Linked DNA regions of Schizosaccharomyces pombe. Changing the gene in region 1 together with any one later gene gives a genetic interaction. Each region holds a gene or a part of one and is shown in the gene's direction. Other genes may lie near its edges.

The links.
Region 2: of rec12 (region 1) and mto1, changing one suppresses a phenotype caused by changing the other (phenotypic suppression), as found in Schizosaccharomyces pombe (one study listed by BioGRID).
Region 3: of rec12 (region 1) and fml1, changing one suppresses a phenotype caused by changing the other (phenotypic suppression), as found in Schizosaccharomyces pombe (one study listed by BioGRID).
Region 4: of rec12 (region 1) and nse1, a mutation in one rescues a mutant of the other (synthetic rescue), as found in Schizosaccharomyces pombe (one study listed by BioGRID).

The regions. Positions count from the first base shown.
Region 1 is NC_003424.3:1,770,889-1,775,113, forward strand, and holds rec12 (DNA topoisomerase type II (DSB-forming) Rec12/Spo11), read left to right. Parts: upstream 1-2,036; coding exon 2,037-2,317; exon of another isoform or gene 2,318-2,375; coding exon 2,376-2,484; exon of another isoform or gene 2,485-2,534; coding exon 2,535-2,612; exon of another isoform or gene 2,613-2,676; coding exon 2,677-2,805; exon of another isoform or gene 2,806-2,874; coding exon 2,875-3,315; downstream 3,316-4,225. Other genes in the region: UBA/TPR/DNAJ domain protein Ucp7, read left to right, coding at 3,370-4,225. UniProt on the Schizosaccharomyces pombe protein: Required for formation of the double-strand breaks (DSBs) that initiate meiotic recombination. Required for crossover recombination and chiasmatic segregation of chromosomes during meiosis I.
Region 2 is NC_003421.2:1,678,847-1,685,179, reverse strand, and holds mto1 (gamma tubulin complex linker Mto1), read left to right. Parts: upstream 1-1,908; coding exon 1,909-5,256; 3' UTR 5,257-5,419; downstream 5,420-6,333. Other genes in the region: mug27 (protein kinase Mug27/Slk1), read left to right, coding at 5,744-6,333. UniProt on the Schizosaccharomyces pombe protein: Spindle pole body (SPB) component that acts as the gamma-tubulin complex-binding protein of the SPB outer plaque.
Region 3 is NC_003424.3:1,468,691-1,477,132, forward strand, and holds fml1 (ATP-dependent 3' to 5' DNA helicase), read left to right. Parts: upstream 1-2,143; 5' UTR 2,144-2,369; coding exon 2,370-3,818; intron 3,819-3,863; coding exon 3,864-4,693; exon of another isoform or gene 4,694-4,749; coding exon 4,750-4,975; 3' UTR 4,976-5,001; coding exon of another isoform or gene 5,002-5,195; 3' UTR 5,196-5,248; coding exon of another isoform or gene 5,249-5,415; 3' UTR 5,416-5,462; coding exon of another isoform or gene 5,463-5,522; 3' UTR 5,523-5,573; coding exon of another isoform or gene 5,574-5,651; 3' UTR 5,652-5,690; coding exon of another isoform or gene 5,691-5,714; 3' UTR 5,715-5,769; coding exon of another isoform or gene 5,770-5,849; 3' UTR 5,850-6,218; coding exon of another isoform or gene 6,219-6,359; 3' UTR 6,360-6,409; coding exon of another isoform or gene 6,410-7,209; 3' UTR 7,210-7,257; coding exon of another isoform or gene 7,258-7,417; 3' UTR 7,418-7,585; downstream 7,586-8,442. Other genes in the region: Tf2-1 (retrotransposable element/transposon Tf2-type), read left to right, coding at 1-1,158; SPOM_SPAC9.06C (5'-methylthioribulose-1-phosphate dehydratase), read right to left, coding at 5,002-5,195, 5,249-5,415, 5,463-5,522, 5,574-5,651, 5,691-5,714, 5,770-5,849; SPOM_SPAC9.07C (GTPase Rbg1), read right to left, coding at 6,219-6,359, 6,410-7,209, 7,258-7,417. UniProt on the Schizosaccharomyces pombe protein: ATP-dependent DNA helicase involved in DNA damage repair by homologous recombination and in genome maintenance. Capable of unwinding D-loops. Plays a role in limiting crossover recombination during mitotic DNA double-strand break (DSB) repair.
Region 4 is NC_003421.2:1,191,688-1,196,656, forward strand, and holds nse1 (Smc5-6 complex ubiquitin-protein ligase E3 subunit Nse1), read left to right. Parts: upstream 1-2,299; 5' UTR 2,300-2,509; coding exon 2,510-3,088; intron 3,089-3,136; coding exon 3,137-3,256; 3' UTR 3,257-3,730; coding exon of another isoform or gene 3,731-4,045; 3' UTR 4,046-4,336; downstream 4,337-4,969. Other genes in the region: gpi2 (pig-C family GPI synthesis protein), read right to left, coding at 250-307, 364-533, 580-727, 786-1,384; protein Hsp10, read right to left, coding at 3,731-4,045.

The DNA.
Region 1 (4,225 bases):
ACTCCATTAAGTTCTTGTTCATATATGACATACTCTTGTAATTATTATTTATTTGAAATGAGCGACAAGACTCATTTCTCAATTTAAATATTTGAATAATTTTAAAACATTTTTTGAATGTTGCGATTTTATTCATTCTATAATTTACCAGTTTTACGACAATCCCTTTTAAGCATTCTTTCCCACCAACCCATATCATAGAGCCCCTTTTATATGCTTATTGCTCATATCGAAAATGTCTTCGTTTTTTGGGTTTGTTTATGAATTCGTGAATTTTTAATTTGGTCATAGTTTTGACCATTAAGTTTGTTTTCCAAAAATGCTCTTTCCTTATCTACTTCGTTTATGCTTTGGAAAATTTCTTCTAAATAATATCTACGGGACTTCCTAATTCTTAAAATTGCAAAATCCGTCCGTGTTCTAAGTATTTATTTATTTTACTATTGTCTAAGTATATCGGAATGATTCTCAGAGCTTTGCACTTCTTTTTCCCTAAATTTTCTATTAACTTTTATCTTTTTGTTATTGTATTAACTTACAAAAGTAATACCGGTTCATCATGCAAAATTCCATGTTTTAACAGTTGTCATAACCTCTATCTTTTCTGTATAAGAAAGGGTAACTGTAAACCACAGTGCTATTGTTGCCTAATTGTTTCTACGTTTTCTTGAGTATTAAATACTTATTAAGAAGAAGCAAAAAAAAAAAACTTGATGAAATTATTCTCCTTTAGAAACCCTTGCTCATTTTTTATCTAGTTCGTCCTGTTTATCTGCTATGCCACAAGTACAAATTTCGGGAAGCAATATGGAGTGCCTATTTTCATTATTGTTTTCCATTGATGTCATTAGAATATTATCGTTATTTGTACATCAGATTAATTGCTATCTTCTGTTCTCGCAATAAGTTAAAAAAGCTATCACTATTGTCTTGACGAAGTATTGCACCATAATAAATGACTATTAATGAATCAAGCAAACACACTACATATGGCAACTTTTAAGCTTAAAAAATTCGTTAAAGACCCATTTGGATAGGTAGCATTTTCGTACAATTGTATGTTCTCCAATTTTATTTTTTCATTTGCAAAAGCAAACCACTGTCAGTTTCTCTTTAGGGCTGGCACAAGGAAAGCATATGCTAACATATACATCGAGCAGATAGTGAGTTAGACTACTTCTTCATGTTTAGTGTTGCAAATGACTTAGTAATTCCTGATTTGAAAATCTGTAAACTAGAAACAATCTTAAATTGGATTGGAGGATATTTCAAACTGTCTTATCAAAATTAAAATGAAAGTCCTTCTTGTTTATATATATACCTTTTGTATAAAAAGGTCAGTTTCATTCATATTTTTAACATTAATGTTATTATAAATAGGTTTAAATAATCATCAAGTTAACAGTTGGTCGCATGATGTAGTCGGTTATCATGTCGATCTAATAAGTCGAATGTCGCCAGTTCGAACCTGGCTGTGACCATGTTTTTTAATTACGTTTTCTCTCTTGACAAAGGAGTTGGCAAAACGAAATTATAAGTACAATATTTATTGAAACAGTTGATATACATATTTTTATAGAAAATTAAAACTATAGAAATAAATTAAGTAACCGCTTGATCTATGGCTCTTAGTTGTCGTATGTTGCATTTGAACTCGAAAGAGTTCAAATATATTTACTTTTCTTTCAACTTTTCTGTAGACAAGAACATAAGTTGTTTAGGAATTTCAAATTTCGATCCATCTTTACGATTTACCAATTCAGTCCGCAAAGCTCGCGTGAGTCTTCTCTTACACCATTTTATCAGAAGGAAAGTCTTCAGTAAGTATTTTTTAGCAGTTAACGAAAACACATATACTGTTTCGCCTTGATATTACCCATTTATTGAATGTATGTATCATTTCTTCAGAAAACAATCTCGCTTAGATATAGCTTATTTGAATTAAGCTATTGATTTTTTACACTGTAACCATACGCGCTTTGCATAATTATCTAGACAATGCAAAGAATGCTGAACGCGTCCAGAAAGTAAAAAAAATGAATTCGAATGATAAAAAAAAAGTTGTTAGATCATGGATTGAGCAATTTGTTCATGATTTTGTTGAGCAATTAAGTAAGCCTACCAAAGATTCAGTAAATGTTGCTTTGAAAAGACGAAAGCACAATTCTTGGAATGGCAGCTTAGATTCAAAGGCCAATGAAAGACAAAAAGTTAAGGTTTTTTCATTCCCCAGGAATGAAACAACAATTGCTCAACTATTCAGGGTTTTAGATTGTGTTCATGAAGCTGTTATTTCGGATACAGTAATCACTAAGCGGTAATTGCTTTGTACTATACGCCGAAAATTCAGATTTAAGTTCTAATTACATTTGCAGAGATATTTATTACAGAGATGTAGATTTATTCAAGCGACAAACCGTAGTCGATGAGCTGCTTGGAGATATTTCAAACACCATTGGTTGCTCCAGGTCCGACCTTAACGTTGTAAGTCATTTCTTTGGAAATAGATTCATTAACGATTAATTTGATCTTAGGAAGCATCTGCTAAAGGATTGGTATTTGGGTCCATTCATATTGCTCTTGAAAACGGGACAGTAATTACTGCTACTAAAGTAGGTTCAAGTTTTAATAACCGTAAAAATTGTTTTTTCTAACTAAGAATTTTACTAAATACAGCCATTATTAATCTCTCACCATCGAATTTCATCAATCACTTCCACAGCAAAATGGGTCTTGGTCATCGAAAAGGAAGCGGTATTCCAAACGCTAACCGAAGAGGCTTTAGCGGATACAATAATTGTTACAGTAAGTGAGAATGCTTCCTTTTCAATGATATTGATGTTAGAGTGCTAGCTAACTAATTGCTTGTAACAGGCTAAAGGATTTCCAGATTTGATGACGAGAAAATTTTTAGTTAAATTAGCCAAAGCCCTCCCGGATGCTAAATTTTTTGGTATTTTTGATTGGGACCCCCATGGCTTATGCATTTATTCCTGTTTCAAGTACGGTTCTAATGCCTACAGTCATGAACCGCACAGTCAATTACGAAATTTACAGCTTTTAGGCCCTCTGTATGAGGACATTTTTAATAAAAACCAAGAATTCTCTTTAAAATTGAATAAAAGGGATATTAAAATGATTACAACATTATTACAATTTGAAGGCTTCCAAAAGGAGCCCGTTGTTCGTGAACAGCTACAGCGAATGCTGTTTATCCAGAAAAAAGCGGAAATACAAGCAATTCTAGAATTTCCTTCATGGATCAAAGGAAAATTAGCTGATGCCGACAAAAGTGGAAAGCACTCAGTACGTTAAGTTCTTGGATAGTTCAACCTACTTTCACTACACTCCCATAATAAAGCCTCCAACATGGATGACTTGCTAGATTTCAATTTTTACGATAAATCTACACCATCTAATCAAAATAATTACAGTAATAATAATAGTAGAACGCCATCCTACTCCCTTCCCGCCCCAGTAGCCCAGAAAAAGAATGCACAAATTCCATTGAAAGCATCAAAGCCCGAAGACCCTTTTGCTAATTTATTTCAAAAGAAAACGGATAATAAAATTTCCTTAAAAGAACTAGAAAGGCAGAAAGTTGGAACTCCGGACTCCAATTCCACCCCCAAATCTTCAAATTACGATCCCTTTGAAAACCTTGAAATTTTGCATCAATTATCAAATACTCCTAGAGATAAAGATGCAGTTATTCATGATAAGATTGAAGAAAATAAAAGGCCGATTTCACAACCACAAGTATCGGCTTCCGAGAAAGTAACTTTAAAGGATTTGTCTTTAGAGCCGCATCAGCCTGTCAGTTTACCCGCCTTTGAGAATATTGGTTCGGAAACCTCTATCCCCTTTGAAAACCATAATGAAATTACTAATATGAATACTGCAAAGGATAAGTTAAGTTCCAACGAGATGTATGAAAAGCTACGCGATTTGGGCTTTTCTGACGATCAAAGCAGATTGGCTTTAGAAAATTCCGGGAGCCTGGAGGATGCCATAGAGTACATTCTTGAAAAAGATAATGCAAAAGGACAGTATCGTGAAGGAGAAGCTTATGAAGCATTTTCAGATTCAAGTGCAAAAACTCAATTTTCAGACTTTCAAGCGTTATCCAATCAATTAAAAAGTCAGTTATTTGAAAAGGCTAATGATCTTTGGAACATTGGAAGAAAGAAACTTAGAGATGCAGTTGAGGAGAGGCGAGCGGTGA
Region 2 (6,333 bases), on another chromosome or scaffold:
TGGCTAAATGACCTCTGGCAATAATATGGTTTTGGTCGCATAACATGATGCAGTAGCACTAAATGAATTTAGCATAGGGTCGGCATAATCGCATTCAGATAGCTGCTGTCGGACATCATATTTTCAGAGTCAGAACTGTAATGATTGTATATTGGATCGTTATATACCCGCATCATTTATATAAGGTGAATATAGATATATCCTTCATTGAATTTCTATAAGTAAACTCAAATGAACTCCGTTTATGAGTTCATTCGCGAGTTAATTTAAGTGCATTCATAGTAATGTATTACATTATTACAAATATCTTAATACATATTTATAATCATTCATATTGCAATACGCGGGTCATAAAGGTCGCAACTGGGGTATAGTTATTCTGTTATACAGGTTATATTTTTACCTATCACTAATATAGCGTATAACTGATCCTCGTTCTTCATTTCAATTGTGCTTCCATTTGCATTATTCAGATAGTATAGAACTTATTATAATTTCATTAGGAACAATCGTAATATCGTATCATCTATGGTATAATTAGAATATGTAGCATATAGTGATATTCAGCGTTGTGTATCGCAGCGTATGTAATATTGCTGACACCTTAACCGATTTAGCAGAGTACGTAACTGACGAGTTTGAAGCAGTTTTTATGTATTACCATTTTTACTTAATAAAAATTATGTAGAGCGAGTGATGATGCCAAGTTTCTCTTTTATTTTGTAATAATCTATATTAGTAATATTTACATACCTGTCAACTTTTTTTTTCGCAAATTTTTTTAAACAATTTCATGGAATTAATGTTTGAAGAAAACATATCAGATCAATGATCAGCTTGAATAAAAAAAAAAATTGAAAAGAAAAGAAAGTTTTCAACTAGTTGGTTCATTCTAGTAAGTGATGATTGTAATTGATTTAAAAAAAAAAAAAATCCTTCGCTTAATAGAAAGAATGCTTTTCTTTGTTGTATTAAAAAAAATACTGAGTAGTATTAACTTAATTTACTTAGATAAATTAATTTACATATACTTATTTATTTATTATTATTTTTTTTCAGCTGCTCTACATATCTCAAGTTGATGAGTTGTAGAGGACTTTATTTTCGCATTCACTCAATTCAAGTTTCGAACACACTATGCAAATTAAAAATGTTCTCTTAATGAAAAGTATATTTGTTCGTATATTCATAGTTCAATTTACCGTTGCGATTGAAATCATCGAAATGTAGCATCATGTAACACGGTGAAAATAGAGACTGAAACAAATAATTTCAGGCTACATACCAACTATACGTAGGAAAGCAAATTTACGCTTGTTCGTGAAAACCTATGTACTCAAGCATAATCGTAGCGGACTTTAGTGTTTTTAACGTTTATTCCATCAATAATTAATATACTTAGGATTCACAGTGTGAAATGAGGTTAACATACCTTAACTTGAGGAGAGTTAATCTAATGAAAATCATAGTTACGTTTTACATATCATCAATGTATGTACTATTGTTTTGTGTATGTGCCATAGGCATGCCAAATAACATGGCTATTTATAATGTAAACGAGTGTGTGCAAATGTATAATTAATTTCATTAACTTCTTTTGAAAATATCTGCTTCTAACACAAACATTAAACCTTCTAAAATTGTAAAGTCCGCAATTACAAGTCTACTACTTTGTTGATCGTTAGTCTAACATGCGTCAAGTAGAGACAGCCATTGAGAACTACTGCCACTACATATATGCCATAGCGTATCAATAGGCATATCTTCGATCCCATACTTTCTTTTAACAATTAACAATTTAAGAAAGAATTAATTTCTTATTCAAAAATCGCTCCTTTGAAATTGTTACAAGAGTCAATGCCTACTGCTTTGGATTTGCTTATGTCGAAGTTCGTTTTCTAATCAATTATGGAAGAAAATTCCAGTGAGTTAGATAGTAATAACTTTAATGTTCTAGTGGATAATTTAGCTGGTCTTTCGCTGACGGACGAGGAAGTTCGTCGCATTTTATCACCCAGAAAGGAAGGATCTCGGCAATTACCCTCTTCTACATCAAAAGACGAAGATTCGGAAGAAGCTTCTCATAAGTATGATTTTGAAATTGATAGAGATTCTTTAAAATCTGATTCTGGATCACCTCGTCTCCATCAAAATGCTACTGCTCCAACGAGCTCTACTCCGCTTCAATCTCCCGATGAATCAGTCAATAAATTGAATAGCGAGGACGAGGAGGGAAATAGTTCTGTTGCACCTTTTTTTTTGGATACTACGAATTTTGATCGTCTCAATGACAACATTACTACTGATGATGAACAGCTTTCTCCCGTACTTACGGCTAATCAAGGGTTTCAGAGCCAAGAGCAGTATGAAGAAGATAGTTACAATAATTACGATTATACTTCGGACCCTTCAAGTCCGAACTATATCTCTTCTTCTCTAGATCAGTTACCTCATTTGGATGATGAAGATGATTTGCAATTAACCCCAATAAAAGAAGAACGAAATTATTTACATTCTCAAGATGCCCCCACTACCAATGCTTTAAGCAAAAAGATCTCCGATATATTGATACCGGCGTCTGCTATGAAAGACCTAAAAGACAGGAAAAATGCACTTGCCAAAGAGTTTGAGGAATCTCAGCCCGGCTCCTCCTTAACTTTAAAGGAACAAGCAAACGTGATTGATAATTTGAGAAAGGAAGTGTTTGGGTTGAAACTGAAATGCTACTTTCTATACGATCAATTAAATAAATTCCACGATCAGGAGGTTCAAGATATTATGAAGCAAAACATCGATTTGAAGACCCTTACTATGGAGCTTCAACGAGCCGTTGCAGGCTATGAGAAAAAAATATCTGGATTAGAAAGCCGGATTAAGCCTGATCAGTCTTTTAACCTTTCCACCCCCAGCCCGGCCCCTTCAAACCTAATTACTCTTCAATCGAGGTATTCGCAGGCTCTTTCAGAGCTTGAAACTACCAAAAGAGCGTTTGCGGCTTTGAGAAAAGAAAAATCAAAGAAGACGAATTATTCTGTTGGGGCATACAATGAAGATCGTAATGTACTGTCAAATATGCTTGATAACGAACGGCGGGAAAAGGAAGCTCTATTGCAAGAGTTGGAATCCCTTCGCGTACAGTTATCCAAAAAAGTTCCTATGCCTGCAAAAAATACTGATGAGCGTGTTATTGAAACACTTCAGCGTAGTAATGAACTGTTGAGGATGGACATATCTATGCAAAATGAAGCATTACTACTTCGCAAGCAGGAAAATGATCGCCTGGTTAAACAAGTGGAGGAGCTTACCGTTGCTTTGAATTCAGGGAAGATGAATGCGATTGTAGAGGCAGAATCAAGCAAGAATGAATTGTGGGATTCTATGATGGTATCTAGAATGAAAACCCAAGAGCAATCAATTGAACTTACTCGTTTATATAAACAGTTGCAAGATATTGAAGAGGATTATGAAAATAAATTGATGAGAATGGAGCAACAATGGCGGGAAGATGTTGACCAACTCCAGGAATATGTCGAAGAGATTACCCAAGAACTCCAGGATACCAAAGAGGTGCTGTCAAAGTCTTCAAAAGAGTCTGATGATTACGAAGAAGTAGTAGGTAAACTTAGGACTGAAGCAGAGCGTGAAATTGAGAAATTCGAGAAAACAATACGGGAAAATGAGGAGAGTATCTCTTTATTCAAAGAAGAGGTTGAAAAGCTTACTGATGAAATTACCCAATTGTCAGAACGTTATAACGATAAATGCCATGAATTTGACGAATTACAAAAGCGGCTGCAAACTTTGGAAGAAGAAAATAATAAAGCGAAGGAAGATTCAACTTCAAAGACATCAAATCTTCTTGAACAGTTGAAAATGACAGAAGCAGAAGTTGATTCTTTAAGGAAGGAAAATGAAGAAAACAAGCAAGTAATTGCTTTGAAAGAAAGCGAGCTGGTGAAAAGTAACGATAACAAACTTTTACTCAATGAGCAAATTGAGTCGTTAAATGATCAACTTAGTCAGTTAAAAACTGAAATGGAAAGCGTTACAACGAGTAAAGAATCGTTAGCCGATTATCTTAGCAACTTGAAGGAAAGGCACAATGACGAATTAGATTCATTAAATAAAAAACTTCGTGAATTTGAAGGTATATTGTCATCAAACTCTTCTTTAAAAAGTGAGATTGAGGAAAGAAATAATCAATACGTTACCCTTCGCGAAAATTTCGATTCTTTGCAGAATGCTATTATGGAAACATTTGATAAACAGGTCACCCACTGCTCGGTTAACCATTTGGTACAACAGATAAGAAAACTAAAAGATGAGAATAAAAAGGATCAGTCTGGTACTGATAAGTTGATGAAAAAAATCTACCATTGTGAGCAAAGTTTAAAAGAAAAAACAAACTCTTTGGAGACGTTAGTGTCTGAAAAGAAGGAGTTAAAGAACTTACTGGATGCGGAAAGACGATCCAAAAAAGCAATCCAATTAGAGTTGGAAAATTTGTCTTCACAAGCTTTCAGAAGAAACCTCTCTGGATCTTCCAGTCCTTCTGAAAGGAGTCAATCTAGAGAACTTAAACTTTTACAAGCATCTGAAAAACGCCTTAAAGAGCAAGTGGAAGAAAGAAATTCCCTCATAAAAAACATTGTCACTCGTTTTACCCAACTGAATACGGGAAGTAAGCCTGTAAATACCAACGTTGAAGCATTGACGACAATTTCAAGCATGAATCAGGCAGTAAATATGAATTTTAGGGAGTTGGACAAATCCATTCAAGAATTCAAACGGAAGTGTCAATCAATGGAGCGGGAATTTAAGACCGAACTCAGGAAGCTTGATGGTGTACTTGAGGCTAGAAGTAAGCGTTTATCACAGTTGGAAGAACGAGTGAAACTTTTAGGCGCTGGGTCAACTTCATCTATTCCAAATTCGCCAAGGGCTTCAAAACGCGTTAGTTTGGATTCCGAGGATAAAAAGCTTGTTCCCGCTTCTCCAGATAAGTCAGCAGTTCAAAGAGGTATCACAGCTTTGAAACGAGATGCTGAAGGAATGAGCCATATATGGCAGTTGAGACTAAGAGAGATGGAGTTTCAACTCAAGGCTGAGCAAGAAGGTCGTAAAAGAGACAAGTTGGGTGCCAGAGAAAGGCTTCAAGATTTGATTCGACAAAACAGGAGTCTTTCAAGGCAAATAAAAACGGATAAAGAAAGCAATTCTAGGTCTCCTTCTATATCATCACAAGAACATAAATAATAATCTGGATAGTTTGCGGTTGAAGTATATAGCTTTTCTTAATCACCAGTACATATCTACTTAGTTGGAGAATTTAATTGACAAAATAAGCTAATTCCAAGATTTATATTTATTTTTTATTTTTTTTTGTTCTCGATTAACCATTTTGGTGTTTGTATCTCCCTGATTATAAAGGAAATAATCACACATATTCGTAAAAAAAATTTATTTTAATCGCGCAAAAGAATTCGAAATATAATTTTTTATTTAACCTTTTTTAAGTAAATTTTACTGCGCATGTATCATCTTTGTAAAAATTCCCAGAACCCGGTGTTTGTTTACATTTGCTGGGAGAATCGAGTTTTATTCAGGCACAACGTGTACTCAAAATAAATTTCAAAATTGAGCTCACATAAACTTGAATAGGAGCAAAAAAAGGAAAGAATCCATTGCATGGAAAAAGCAATTCACTTGGGACAATTTTATAGAACGATTCCACAAACATAGAATGGACCTACTGGGCCTTAAAGAATTAGACAATAACAAACTAGTATCAAAGGCAAAAGAAAATGGAGTCGAATTTTCTGATTTATTTTTACTATCAAGCGGCTATTTACGAGACAGGGAAAATGCGTCAGCAAGTGTGTCTTCGAAAAATGAACGCATGGTGCTCAACGAAGAAAGACAAAATTGCTGGACGAAAAGAAATGATCCTAAAGGTTTAACTTACTACCAATTACTAAAGCCCAGTGAAGTTGAAATACTTAGTCGACCCGAGACAAGAAGAAAGCGGATGGCCTGTCAAGTTTTCTTCCTCAATTACTATATTAGCACAATTGAGTACCATAAACTAAGGAAGGAAAGATTGGAAGAATTTACAGCGTGTACATCGTCATTAAAACAATCTAAACAGAAGCGACTATGGAAAGAGCATTGTGGAAGGGAAAGAGCATTTTTGAGAAAAAAAAGAACCAAGATTCAATGTAGCCATTTCGATTTATTAGTAAAGCTTGGACAAGGAGGATATGGTTCTGTGTGGCTTGCTAAAAAGCGCAACACACACGAATTGTTAGCAATGAAAATGATGAAAAAATCAAC
Region 3 (8,442 bases), 300 kb from region 1:
CAAATACAAGAATATGTACAGAACTGCCATACATGTCAAATAAACAAATCTAGGAATCATAAACCTTATGGACCTTTACAACCAATTCCCCCATCAGAAAGACCTTGGGAATCTTTATCAATGGATTTTATTACAGCTTTACCAGAATCATCTGGTTATAATGCACTTTTCGTGGTAGTTGACCGATTTTCAAAAATGGCAATCTTAGTACCTTGTACGAAATCCATTACAGCAGAGCAAACAGCTCGAATGTTTGATCAACGAGTTATTGCTTATTTCGGCAATCCAAAAGAAATCATTGCAGATAATGATCATATTTTTACTTCCCAAACGTGGAAAGATTTCGCACATAAATATAATTTCGTTATGAAATTTTCGTTACCATACAGACCACAAACTGATGGACAAACTGAGCGTACAAACCAAACTGTGGAGAAATTACTAAGATGTGTATGTAGCACACATCCAAATACATGGGTAGATCATATATCCCTAGTGCAACAATCTTACAACAATGCGATACATTCAGCAACTCAAATGACACCTTTTGAGATAGTACATCGCTATTCACCAGCTTTATCACCTTTAGAGTTACCTAGCTTTAGTGACAAAACTGACGAAAACTCTCAGGAAACGATCCAAGTATTTCAAACAGTTAAAGAACACTTGAATACAAACAACATAAAGATGAAAAAGTATTTCGATATGAAAATACAAGAAATTGAAGAATTTCAACCTGGAGACCTAGTTATGGTCAAAAGAACGAAAACAGGTTTTCTTCATAAATCCAATAAATTAGCACCTAGTTTTGCAGGACCGTTCTATGTGTTACAGAAGTCGGGTCCAAACAACTATGAATTGGATCTTCCAGATTCAATCAAGCACATGTTTTCATCTACTTTTCATGTTTCTCACCTAGAAAAGTATCGACATAATTCAGAACTCAATTACGCTACCATTGATGAGTCTGATATTGGAACAATTCTTCATATCCTAGAACATAAAAACAGAGAACAAGTACTCTACTTAAATGTCAAGTACATTTCGAATCTAAATCCGAGTACTATTATGTCAGGATGGACTACATTAGCTACAGCGCTACAAGCGGACAAAGCAATTGTCAATGATTATATTAAAAACAATAATCTAAATATCTGAGAACATATGACTTATCCTCAGATTTACATAGAAAATCTTGGGGAGGGCAATGTCAGCAATACTACACTACGCTATAATACACTACGTTGAGTATCACTATATGTCACATGTTCTAATTATATATCGTACCATGTATGATACGATATGGAGATTGATCTTAATGATAATCTATTAAGATCAATATTATCTGAATACTATAAATAGAGCTACTGCTGAACCTCGTTCCTCAGTTCAGTTATGAGCTATATTAGTGATAGGTAACATTATAACCCAGTTAATACAATACCTATACTCAGTTGCTACTTATACAACCTGTGTATTGTAATATAATAGATCACAAGGAAAACTCACCGCAGTTCTACGTATCCTTAAATCAGATACCAAACTGCGTAGCTTACAATTTCATAGAAGTATGACCTTTGAACAAAATCACTATTTCACTTAATGCAGTGCTTAAATTCTTTAATTTATACTTAGTGAATCAGTAAATTTAAAATACGTTAAATGGCTTTATGGAATTTCCAAAGGAACTCTTCGAAGAGGAAATTTCAAATTATGTGATAGATTAAAGATTATGGCTATTATTCGATAAATGAGTGTTTTTTTACTCACTTGATGTGTGATATGTTACCACAAACAAAGTCCAATTTTGAAGGTACAAACATCAGAAAGTCCTGAATTCTAGCAACATTAGTCTATGTACGGACACTTTTCAACTCGTTTTACTTCATCTAGCTAATCATTTTCTTTAATCTAAGAGCCATTACATGTCTTTCTGATAGGATTTGTTCGGCTATGCTTGTTATTTGTTTATCGTATAGAGAGCGACTTATAGTGAATATATACAAAAACCATTATGATGATATACGAATTCTATATCGGTTATTAGGTGCTTCCCTAATACAATACTACACCCGCGCAATAATTCGTTATAACAAATCGTTACTGAAAAGACATGGAATATACACATTGGCAATGTAATTTTAAACATAATTAACTTCATTACTTTCTCATGAAGTTAATTGTATCTTAAACCATTTGAGGGAAAAAACTTGTCCTTTACAATTACTTCCGACAATAAAGGACGCTTTGCAGTGAATGTCTTATGGAATTGTTGTATTTGACGACTGACGAAACGAAGTACCTTAGCAAAATTCGTTTTTAAGTAATTCCAGCTAAATTTTTGCTAACAATATAAATCATTGATAAGGATGTCCGATGATTCTTTTAGTAGTGATGAAGACTGGGACGAATTGGACACCCAAGTAGTTGATAAAATTGAGAATGAATATCATAATAACACGATAGGTTTAAATGGATACTCAGTTGATGAATATTTTGATGCCAACGATTCCAATAGATATCGTCTACAACACGAGTTAGATGAAAGTGCAGCACAGCAATGGGTATACCCTATAAACGTCTCCTTTCGAGATTATCAGTTTAATATTGTCCAAAAAGCTTTATTTGAAAATGTACTTGTAGCTTTGCCAACAGGTTTAGGTAAAACATTTATTGCAGCCGTTGTGATGATGAATTATCTTCGTTGGTTTCCAAAAAGTTACATTGTTTTCATGGCTCCTACTAAACCATTGGTTACACAACAAATGGAAGCTTGCTATAAAATCACTGGAATTCCAAAGAGTCAAACTGCTGAATTAAGTGGACACGTTCCTGTTACAACTCGAAATCAGTATTATCAAAGTCGAAATGTTTTCTTCGTAACTCCTCAAACCATTTTAAACGACATCAAGCATGGAATTTGCGATCGGACTCGTATATCTTGTTTAGTAATTGATGAAGCACATCGTAGTACTGGAAATTACGCTTATGTGGAAGTTGTTCATCTACTTTCTCTTAGCAACAAAAATTTCCGTATACTGGCTCTTAGTGCTACCCCCGGAAATAAGTTAGAAGCAATTCAGAATGTAATTGATTCTCTTCATATATCCAGGATTGAGATTAGAACTGAAAACAGCATTGATATATCGCAATACGTTCAGAAGAAAGAGGTGGATTTTTTTCCTGTAGATTTGTCTGCAGAGATTACAGATATAAGAGATCGATTTTCTTCTATATTGGAACCTATGCTTCAAAAATTGAACAAGGGTAATTATTATCGAATTCAGAATGCTAAAGACATAACTTCTTTCACTGTGGTTCAAGCTAAACAAGCTTTTCTTGCAATGTCTGGTCAAAACTTTCCTGCTAATCAAAAATGGGATATTTTAAATACTTTTGATGCATTAGCGACTTTTGCCTATCCTTTAAATTTGTTACTCAACCATGGTATCCGACCGTTTTATCAAAAATTGCGAGAGGTAGAAGAAGAATGCTTTGTAGGAAGATCAGGTTATAAGAAACGCATAATAAATCACGAAAATTATCGTCCTTTAATGGACGATATAGAAATTTTGTTGCGAGATCAGTCTTTTGTCGGACATCCCAAACTAGAGCATTTGGAACGTATTGTTACAGAATATTTTGAAAAAGAACAAACCAAGGATACCAGAATTATGATTTTTGTTGAAATCCGCTCTAGCGCCGAAGAGATTTTACGATTTTTGGGTAAATTTTATCCAAATGTGAGACCAGCTATTTTTATTGGACAATCTGCTGTGAGAAAGGCTGCTGGAATGTCTCAAAAATTACAGAATGAAGTATGTAATCTGAAAATGATGGATCCTTAACTAACTAATCTCTAGACTGTGAAACAATTTCAAAAAGGTGAAGTCAATACTTTAATAGCTACCTCTATTGGAGAAGAGGGTTTGGACATAGGTGAAGTAGACATGATCATATGTTACGATGCATCTGCTTCTCCTATAAGGATGTTACAAAGAATGGGCAGAACTGGGAGAAAAAGGAAAGGTTATATTTATATGCTTTTGACGCGAGGCAAAGAAGAAGCAAAATGGGAGAGAGCCAAAGACGCTTATCGAACTTTGCAAGATAATATTGTCAGTGGTCGCGGTCTCAGCCTATCGGAAAAAAGTTATAGAATTTTACCAGAAAAGTTTCGCCCGGTTTGTGATAAACGAGTCATAGAAATTCCCAAAGAAAATGAAGAAGTTGTAGTAGCTCCAAAGAAAGTGCAATTGAGAACGAAAATAAAAAAGAAATTTTTCATGCCAGAAAATGCCTTGAATGGATTTATTACTGCGTCCGCTTTAGGTAAACCGAAACGTGCTTTAGCCAAGTCTGAAGAATCACCGTTCGAGATATGTCCCGTTACATATAGCATTGAACAAGAAAAGAAACTGGAAAAATATAAGCGTGTTTGCTTAAGAGGTTTGGATATTCATAGAAATAGGAGGTTATCTCAATTGAGTGTTACAGGACGGATACCGCATTCTCTAGCTACGAAAAGTATACATTCATTTTTAAAGCATTTAAATACTATAGATTCGCAAAAGGCTCAGGAGTGGAGAAGAGAAATAAACAACCAATTCCAAGTATCAAATATCAACTCGACGGATCGTGACACAAAACAGCCAAAGATGCATGACTTTAGACAACCTTTACACCCAAATCCGTAAGTGTTTAAACTATTGAGTTGTTTAACGATAATTACAGATTATTAACATACAGGATGACAACTTTGAAAAGGAAAGGACAACATAATTCATTTTCTTACGACAAGTCTACACTGTTTTATGACAACAACAATAATTTAGAGGAAGACCTCCCGGATGTAAATATTTCTATATCTTCAAGGAATGAAGAAGCATCCAAGACAAAACCATTTGACGACCGACAACAACGCCTTCAGCAACTCGTAGAGAAAAGGAAACGTATGAAAGGAATGCTGATTTAGAGAATTAAATAGTGTTTAGAAATAGCCTACAACGTTTTCAATTTGTAGTCTAACTCAAAAAGATATTCGTAGCATTCCATTTGAGTTTTTGATTTTTCCCATGTTGCTCCCCAACCGATAACCCCATGTCCACGAATAAGAACAGCACATGTTTGTGGATAAAGCTCGATGACTTTTTTTAGTTCATCTAATATTGTTTTACTATCGCCATTGTGGATAACTACATAATCAGTATTCAGATACCAGTCAACACCAACAGAAAACACAACTTACTAGGAACCTCTAGAGTATCAAAACAGCAAAGATAGCCTGCTGAAGGATTTCCCTTTGGAATTCCTTTGATCATTTCCTTAGATTGTGTAGTAAATTTCTCATTATACATCGATGCTCCGACTGCAGCGACTGAAGTAGAATATATACAGGCTACTGCATCCATATTACTTTTGATGTGTTAAAAATTGCTGTAAATAGAAAAAATGATGCATACCTCAAAACCCATGAGAAAATGTAGGCCCAATTGACTAAATCCTTGGTGACTGACTGATTGCTGTATAAAAGGTTAGATACTAATTGGAGCTGATCCAAATGAATAATTTACCTTAAATTAAAGGTCACGATATCGTTTTCCGTTATGAAGTCTCTTTGAACCCTGTCCTTAACGCAAATTGCATAACCACTAAATGTTAACAAAATCGTTTGAATACCGTACAATTACTTGTTCTTTAGACAAAAGTTTCCACTAAATACCAATTAGCTTTAAAAAATTACTGAACATTAAACGTCTTGAACGCTACCTGCCAAATTTCATCCATCCAAGACTGTAAAAATGAGGAATAAGTTCAAGAATCAAATTTTTCTCTAATTGGAGACTCATTCTTCTAAAATTTTCAACTTTAACCTTTAAAAGTTCCCGTACTATACTCAGAAATGATTTATTTAATGATCGGTTCTTTCAGCAAAGTGAGTAGCGTTTCATAAGTTGCGTTTGCAAATTTGATATTAAAAAGTAATTGAAGGAAGACATATGTCACAAAACACTCTACACAATCATTCATTAAGCTTATAATACACGAAAACTTTTACTTTAAAGAAAAAACAATTTGAACAAATAACGAAATAAATTACCATCTAAAATTTTAAGTCATTGTAACCCACCTATTAGAGTAACCAGTTAAATAAGTTTTCAGGCCTATATATTCCAATACTGGGAAACCAAGGAAAGTAAGATGTTAGGAAAAAAGACTTATTTTTTGACAATCGTCACTACATCCTCATCCAACAGTACATGAGATAAACCAACACGCATGCCAGGATAAGGAACGCTTTTTCCCCAAACATAAGCATGTTTAAACTGGGATTTGATACTTGAATGAATATTGTTACACTAAAGAAGTTAGCAACACGAAGATCGGCAGAAGCAATTCGAAAACTTACAAAATCCTCGACAGTAGAATGGCCAGTACGAAGGATAACAGGTTCGCTGTAATCAGGTTCAAGACCTCTAGGGCGTGTATAGACTCTAACCAAATTCAAATAGTCCCACATCGTTTCTTTAAGTTCGTCAATGTTCCAACCCCTGTTACCACAAATGGGTACGGCGTTAGGAATACGATCAATCAAATCAAGTTCTTCAATAGAAATTGAATCAATTTTATTTAACACGTAAAGTGCCGGGATATAAACGCGATTTCCTTCCAAGACATCAATCAAATCATCAATGGTGGCATCACAACGAAAAGCAATGTCAGCAGAGTTAACACGATATTCGCTGCAAACAGCACGAATTTCGTCCAAATCAATATGAGTCAAGGGGACAGTATTGGTGATATTGATACCACCACGTTCTTTCTTTTTGAATACAATGTTGGGGGGTTCCTTATTTAATCTTATACCAAATCCTTCCAATTCCTCTTCAATAATACGCTTATGAGACATTGGTTTCAATACATCCAAAACAATAAATATAAGGTTGCAAGTACGTGCAACAGTAATAACTTGTTTACCACGACCACGACCATCTTTGGCACCCTCGATAATACCAGGCAAATCCAAAATTTGAATTTTTGCACCATTGTATTGCAAAACACCCGGAACCGTTGTTAAAGTTGTAAATTCATATGCAGCGGCTTCACTTCTCGTTCCTGTAAGCTGAGTCATGAGTGTACTTTTACCGACGGAGGGAAATCCAATGAAACCTACAGTACCAATACCGGTACGAGCAACATCGAAACCAACTAAGAAAGATTAGTACTCCAAACAAAAATTTGACGTTCAGTACATACGCCCTCCACCACCTCCTCCACCGGTAGGGGTGATCAATTCACGTTTCAATTTTGCAAGCTTGGCCTTTAACATTCCCAAGTGCTTAGCCGTAGCTTTATTTTTTTGGGTTTTGGCCATTTCATCTTCAACTTCTTTTATTTTTTGCGCCGTAGTCGCCATTTTGTTTTTTTATTATATATGAAAATGCTATGAAAATGGTGAAAAGAAAATTCTATAACTAAGTACGTATAAGATCTTTTGCATTATTGAGTGCTAAGCAACCCTCTTTATTTTATATTAGTGTATTAAACCACATTACAACAGCCAAACTATTATTAAGATACCAGGTAGAATATCACGTTGGATCTCGATATTTGTTCCTTGTTGTAAGTAAATAAAAAAATATGTGAAATATTGAATCCAGTTATTCAATAGAATTTCATAAATAAATCTTTTTTCTTTTGCGTGTCTTTTTTTATGCGTTAGATCAATATAAAATATGTATGTATATAAAAAGTTGATAATTTTGTTTTGTTTTTCTTACACAATTTTAATGCAAATATTAAATAAATAAGATTGCAAAAAAGTAGTTGCTGATTGCGCAAAAGCTTGGATTAACAGTATTTTTTGATAAATAAAAAAAGAAATAAATAAATTTAGTATGTTCTAAGTCAACGGCAAATGAATTATTATTCAGGGGTTGAAGATAATGTCAGTTAACAAGGTTAATTATCGGGTCAGGGTAATAATTAAAAATTAAATAAATAAAAAATATCTGCGGCTGTTGCGTATAAACAGTAGACGGATGAGCAATTATCCCCAATAGCCTAAATACAAAATATAAGAACACATAGTAGAAACTACAAAAACATTTTTACCGGCAACAATAACCTCGTTGATATAGTGGTATTGTTGATAACTCAAAAAGCCCCAGCGTTTTGTGCGCGAAAATTATATTAATATTAACGAAAGCGAATATGCTGAATATGTATAAATCTGCAGAAGATACATATGTATCATTAATTTTTCTATGTACAATATTGTAAGCAACATAACTGATCGGAACAGGAAAAGTAGATGAGAAGAGGGAAACGGTTAGGATAGCGTGAAATTCAAGATCAATGCGAAAGAAATAAATTATAAGGGTTAAATAAGGCATAAATTAAGGAAGTCATCGAAACAAAACCTAAGAAAAAAACACAAGA
Region 4 (4,969 bases), on another chromosome or scaffold:
TTCGTTACCAACTTTGAAATTGAATTGTAGTATACTTTTAGTTGGTGGTGGAATAAAACTACAGAGGAAAGAGCGACATAAATTTCCATTTAATTAAAATCATTCAACTCTAAAGAGAGGGAAATCAAGTTTGGATACAAGACATGTCATGCCATCATGAAGGATTAGACTGAAAGACGGCCAGTCGTAAAAAAAATAATATATTTTTTCGCAAAACGTAGTCAATTAAAAGCAAGCTCGCGAATTAGGCTAGCCCTTACTTGGACCTAGCTTTGGTAATGCAATATCCCAGGGACCGTGAATTTCACTAAGATATATATGTGAGAATTTAGAAAGAAATAATAAAATAAAATAATTACATACTTTTTAAATCTTTGAAGCTTAATAAACCAAATGGGACATATAAACGAAATGAAAAATATTAATGAAAGAAAGACAAACGCAATAACAACAGATGCAACAGCATTCAAAGCAATATATGCACTTATGATCAATACGAGGGTCATAAGCATGTCAGCGTAAAAAGAGAAAACCTGTAATTGGTTAAATAAAAGAAAAGGCCAATAAATTGCTTCTTACATGAATGTATTTGCGAAAAATGGGGAATAGTGCAAACCAATGAACGGCAAAAAGAATAAAAAAAAATACATTAATTGACTTTTCCAGTCGTGAAGCTAGAACAACAGATGCACTCAGCGCCGCATTTGTTGATAAAGAATTGTGTAGCCTAAAAAGAAAAATAATTAGAAATGGAATTAATTACGATGAAGTTTCCAAAGACGTACCTGACATGAGGTCTGATAGTTTCCGTCGTATATTCATGAAAAAATACGTTCGCAAGGAAAAGCCAAACAGCAATAGCCCAAACTGAGTCAGGAGAGGTAGATTTTGTTAATGACATTAGAATTGGCGATAGACCAGCAAGCGTAAGAACAATTAATATACAAGATTTAACGATCCCCATGTAATTAGGAAAAGTTCTATTGTTACAAGGCTTTCTCAACACAAAATCCCACAAAATGAATGCCGCGACCGCAGAAACATTTGACACGAAACCAACAAGCGCACAAGATAACTGGTTCCTATAGATCGAAACGAAAACCGAGGCAAATATAACTACGCTTGATAGATGCTGGGAGACAGGTAAACTATCGGCCACTAAAGACCAAAAGTCAGTGACTTGAATGTTAACATTTCGTTGTAAGCCATTCAAAAAAGATTCATCAATGAAGTTATCTGGGTAATCTTGTTTCCTCCATAAAACCTTTTTCCAAGGTTTCTTTAGTTCAACAACTTCTTTTACAGAGGCTTTCCTGAACGTGTTCAAGACGAGTGATTTCGCGACCATCTTTTTGGGCGCTGGAGCAGCACATACTTCATCCATTCAGTTTTAAAGTAATTTATAAATCAACTAAATAACTACATTCGTCCTAAACTCTCATACAAATTAAGCTGAATTTGCTTCCAATACCGTATTTTCAACAGTTCTTAGAGTAGTTGGATTTGGTTAACATCGACTGACTATAATATAAGTTGACTAGTACTGTATGTTTGGGTCCGCAAACAAATAAACCACACTTTCCTAATTTAATTCATATATATCTACTTTAAAAAGTACATTCAGCATCGTTAAGAGTTTTTATTCCCAAGAAAATGATTTAACTGCATGACTCTGAATATAGGGTTGTTCATGAAATCTGCAATCGCGCATACTCGCAATTGGACTTTAATCTATCAATTGACAATTCAAGTGATAAAATTTACGACTGAACTCTTATAAACCCGAATTCAAGCATTCTAGTAAGCTAATAAGTCAACATTAATTATAAACAATTATTCTAAATTCAACGAAAAGTAAACTTTCACGAACAGGGTTTACATTTTACGAAAAATATGTGTATTCTTTCTAACTTTCCCTTATTCAAAAACTGCAAAAGGTTATCTCTTAGTTTCCTATTCTTGATGTACGTTTAACTCGTAGTGTTATAAAATACTTGAAAGCTAAATGTGCGTGGTACAATAAGATGATCAGTAGAAAAATATGCTGTTTTTTTTTTTTTAAAATAAATATAATAAATGTTCTTGTTCCATTGCTTGCATCTGTATGTTTTCTAACCATGTTTATGTGCGTAAACAATAGAAAGAAAAGGATAAAGAAAGAAATTTCACAAAAATATATAGCATAAATTTTTTTTAAAAAAAAGAAAGGAATATCTGCTGCTTTTCACAAATTGTTCTAGCTGCGCGTATTTAATGGTAATCAAATTTTGTTTCACACTGAATACTGATTTCATCTACTACCAACATATACCATTACACTGTATGTTTCATGATTGTCAATATATGAACGGACTATTTTAAGACAAAAAATCGAAACGACCATAAAAATTTGATAAAAAATTGAAAGGAAGCTAGGCGTTTTGTGCGTGTTTGTTTAAATTTGCATTGGTCAATTAACGCGTCAATTAGTAATCAAAATAGTAGAAATACAAAAAAAGGAATAAACGGTATGGAGAAAGAGAGACAAGATGGATTATCTGACAAGCATAAATTCATTCTTCAATATATAATGTGTCGCACAGCTGGTGTTGATAATGAACAAGTTCGTGAACTTGTTCAAGAGCAGTATGGAGAAACGGCAACTGTAGAAGATGTAATAAATGAATTGAACAATTCTTTGCACAATTTCGATTTTAAGATAAAACGAGTACAGGATCAACTGGATGGAAGATTAACGCTGCACTTTCAGAATTTATCTGGAGACCCAGTATCCCAAATGGCTACTCCTTACCCTCCTGTTCAGATAGAACTTATGAGAAAGATAATCGAATGGATCATGAAGTGTGATGATTACCAATATTCATTAACGACTCTGCAAATCCAAAAATTATCGAGAAAAGAAATGGGATTGGCACCTAGTGTTATTGAGTCTCACTTACATACGTTTGAACGTGATGGATGGCTAAGACAGAGAGAGGGTATTTGGACATTTACGAATCATGCGTTAGCTGAATTGGATGCTTATTTACACAACGAATACGAGAGCAATTTATACGAATGCAACGCTTGTCGCGAAATTGTAATTGCTGTAAGATACATATCACAAATGCAAACTTACTAACTGAATACCTTATAGGGATATGTATGTGATTGTGGCTACTGCTTGCATGTTTACTGTTGCAAGCATTTAGCTCATGTTAATTGTATAAATTGTAACACGCCATGGGCAAATGCGACCGTTATAGGACGCTGGTAATTTTTTCACTACCTACTGGTGTTCGCTTTACTTGTTTATACATTTGGGCTACTTGGGAAAGGATATAGAAAACTTATAAAATTAACAGTTTTTAATGTTGGAAAAAAGGGTTCGTAATTAAACTATGTGGAGAACACTCGCATTTTAAACTGAAATCGTTAAAATTCAGGTGAAGGGTTAGACTCATAAAACACGAACTCAAAATCTTCTTTACAAAAAAATAAAAGAGAAATGACATCGATCATCAAACGCATAATCACTGTCATTTTCTTTAAAAATGTCCGCATTTACATCACATTTAAATCTGAGTGCAATCGTCCTTAAAATTAGAGCTGTTAAAAAAGCCATCTTGTACCAGTTTATCGTAATTTGCTGCAAGAACAATAACAAAAGATGTTTTTGCGTCCAACAGCTTTTTTTTTAGTATGCTTAATAGGCAGTGGCTGACGAAGAAAAAATTACCCATTAATTAATTTATTCCTTGATGATAGCCAACAACTCGTGATCACGGTACAACGAATACTCCTCTTCGCCCACCTTGATGTTGCTTCCACCATAAGCAGGCAGCAAGACACGATCACCAACGGCTACGCTGGGTTGAGCCAGTTTACCTTCCTTGTTATAACCGCCCTTTCCGACGGAAATAACACGACCTTCGGATAACTTTTCAACGCTCTTCTCAGGTAGAAAGATACCAGAAGCGGTTTTGGTGTCGGCCTTGATACGTTGAACCAGAATACGATCCAAAAGAGGCACGATTGACTTGGCGGATTTCAGTTTGGTAGCCATGTGAAAGAATGCAAAATGATTTTAAAAAAAAGCCTAACAAATACAAAAACTGTGGTTAATGCCAATATATTTCCGTCAAAACTTGTTCGTTTTGGGCAAGTGCTCAGTAGCTTCAGTTGAAGCTGTGATCCTCCTTATTAATCTTTTGCAGATCATCTGGAAAGTTCTACCAAAAGTTTATTTTGCGTTAATACTCAAGGTTCCGGTAAAACACAATGCGAGATTCGGCTCCAATATGCTATATTTTAATAATGTTAACTACGCAGTTTGGTATCTGTTTTAACGACACGCAGAACTGCGGTGAGTTTTCCTTGTGATTTAATATATAGTGTAGTATAGCTGACATTGCCCTCCCCAAGATTTTCTATGTAAATCTGAGGATAAGTCATATGTTCTCAAATATTTAGATTATTGTTTTTAATATAATCATTGACAATTGCTTTGTCCGCTTGTAGCGCTGTAGCTAATGTAGTCCATCCTGACATAATAGTACTCGGATTTAGATTCGAAATGTACTTAACGTTTAAATAGAGTACTTGTTCTCTATTTTTATGTTCTAGGATATGGAGAATTGTTCCTATGTCGGATTCATCAATGGTAGCGTAATTGAGTTCTGAATTATGTCGATACTTTTCTAGGTGAGAAACATGAAAAGTAGATGGAAACATGTGCTTGATTGAATCTGGAAGATCCAATTCATAGTTGTTTGGGCCCGACTTCTGTTACACATAGAACGGTCCTGCAAAACTGACACGTATCATACATGTGATGCAAATCACAGTAAGTGTAGTTATGTCGTGAATTACTAACATTTACTTTACAATTAAAAGATAGAGTATATAAAAATGGTATTGCTGTCAAATAATTTAGTTGGAAAGCCTTCATTCAAGTTGGATATTTGTCGATAACGATGGTTTCCGTACC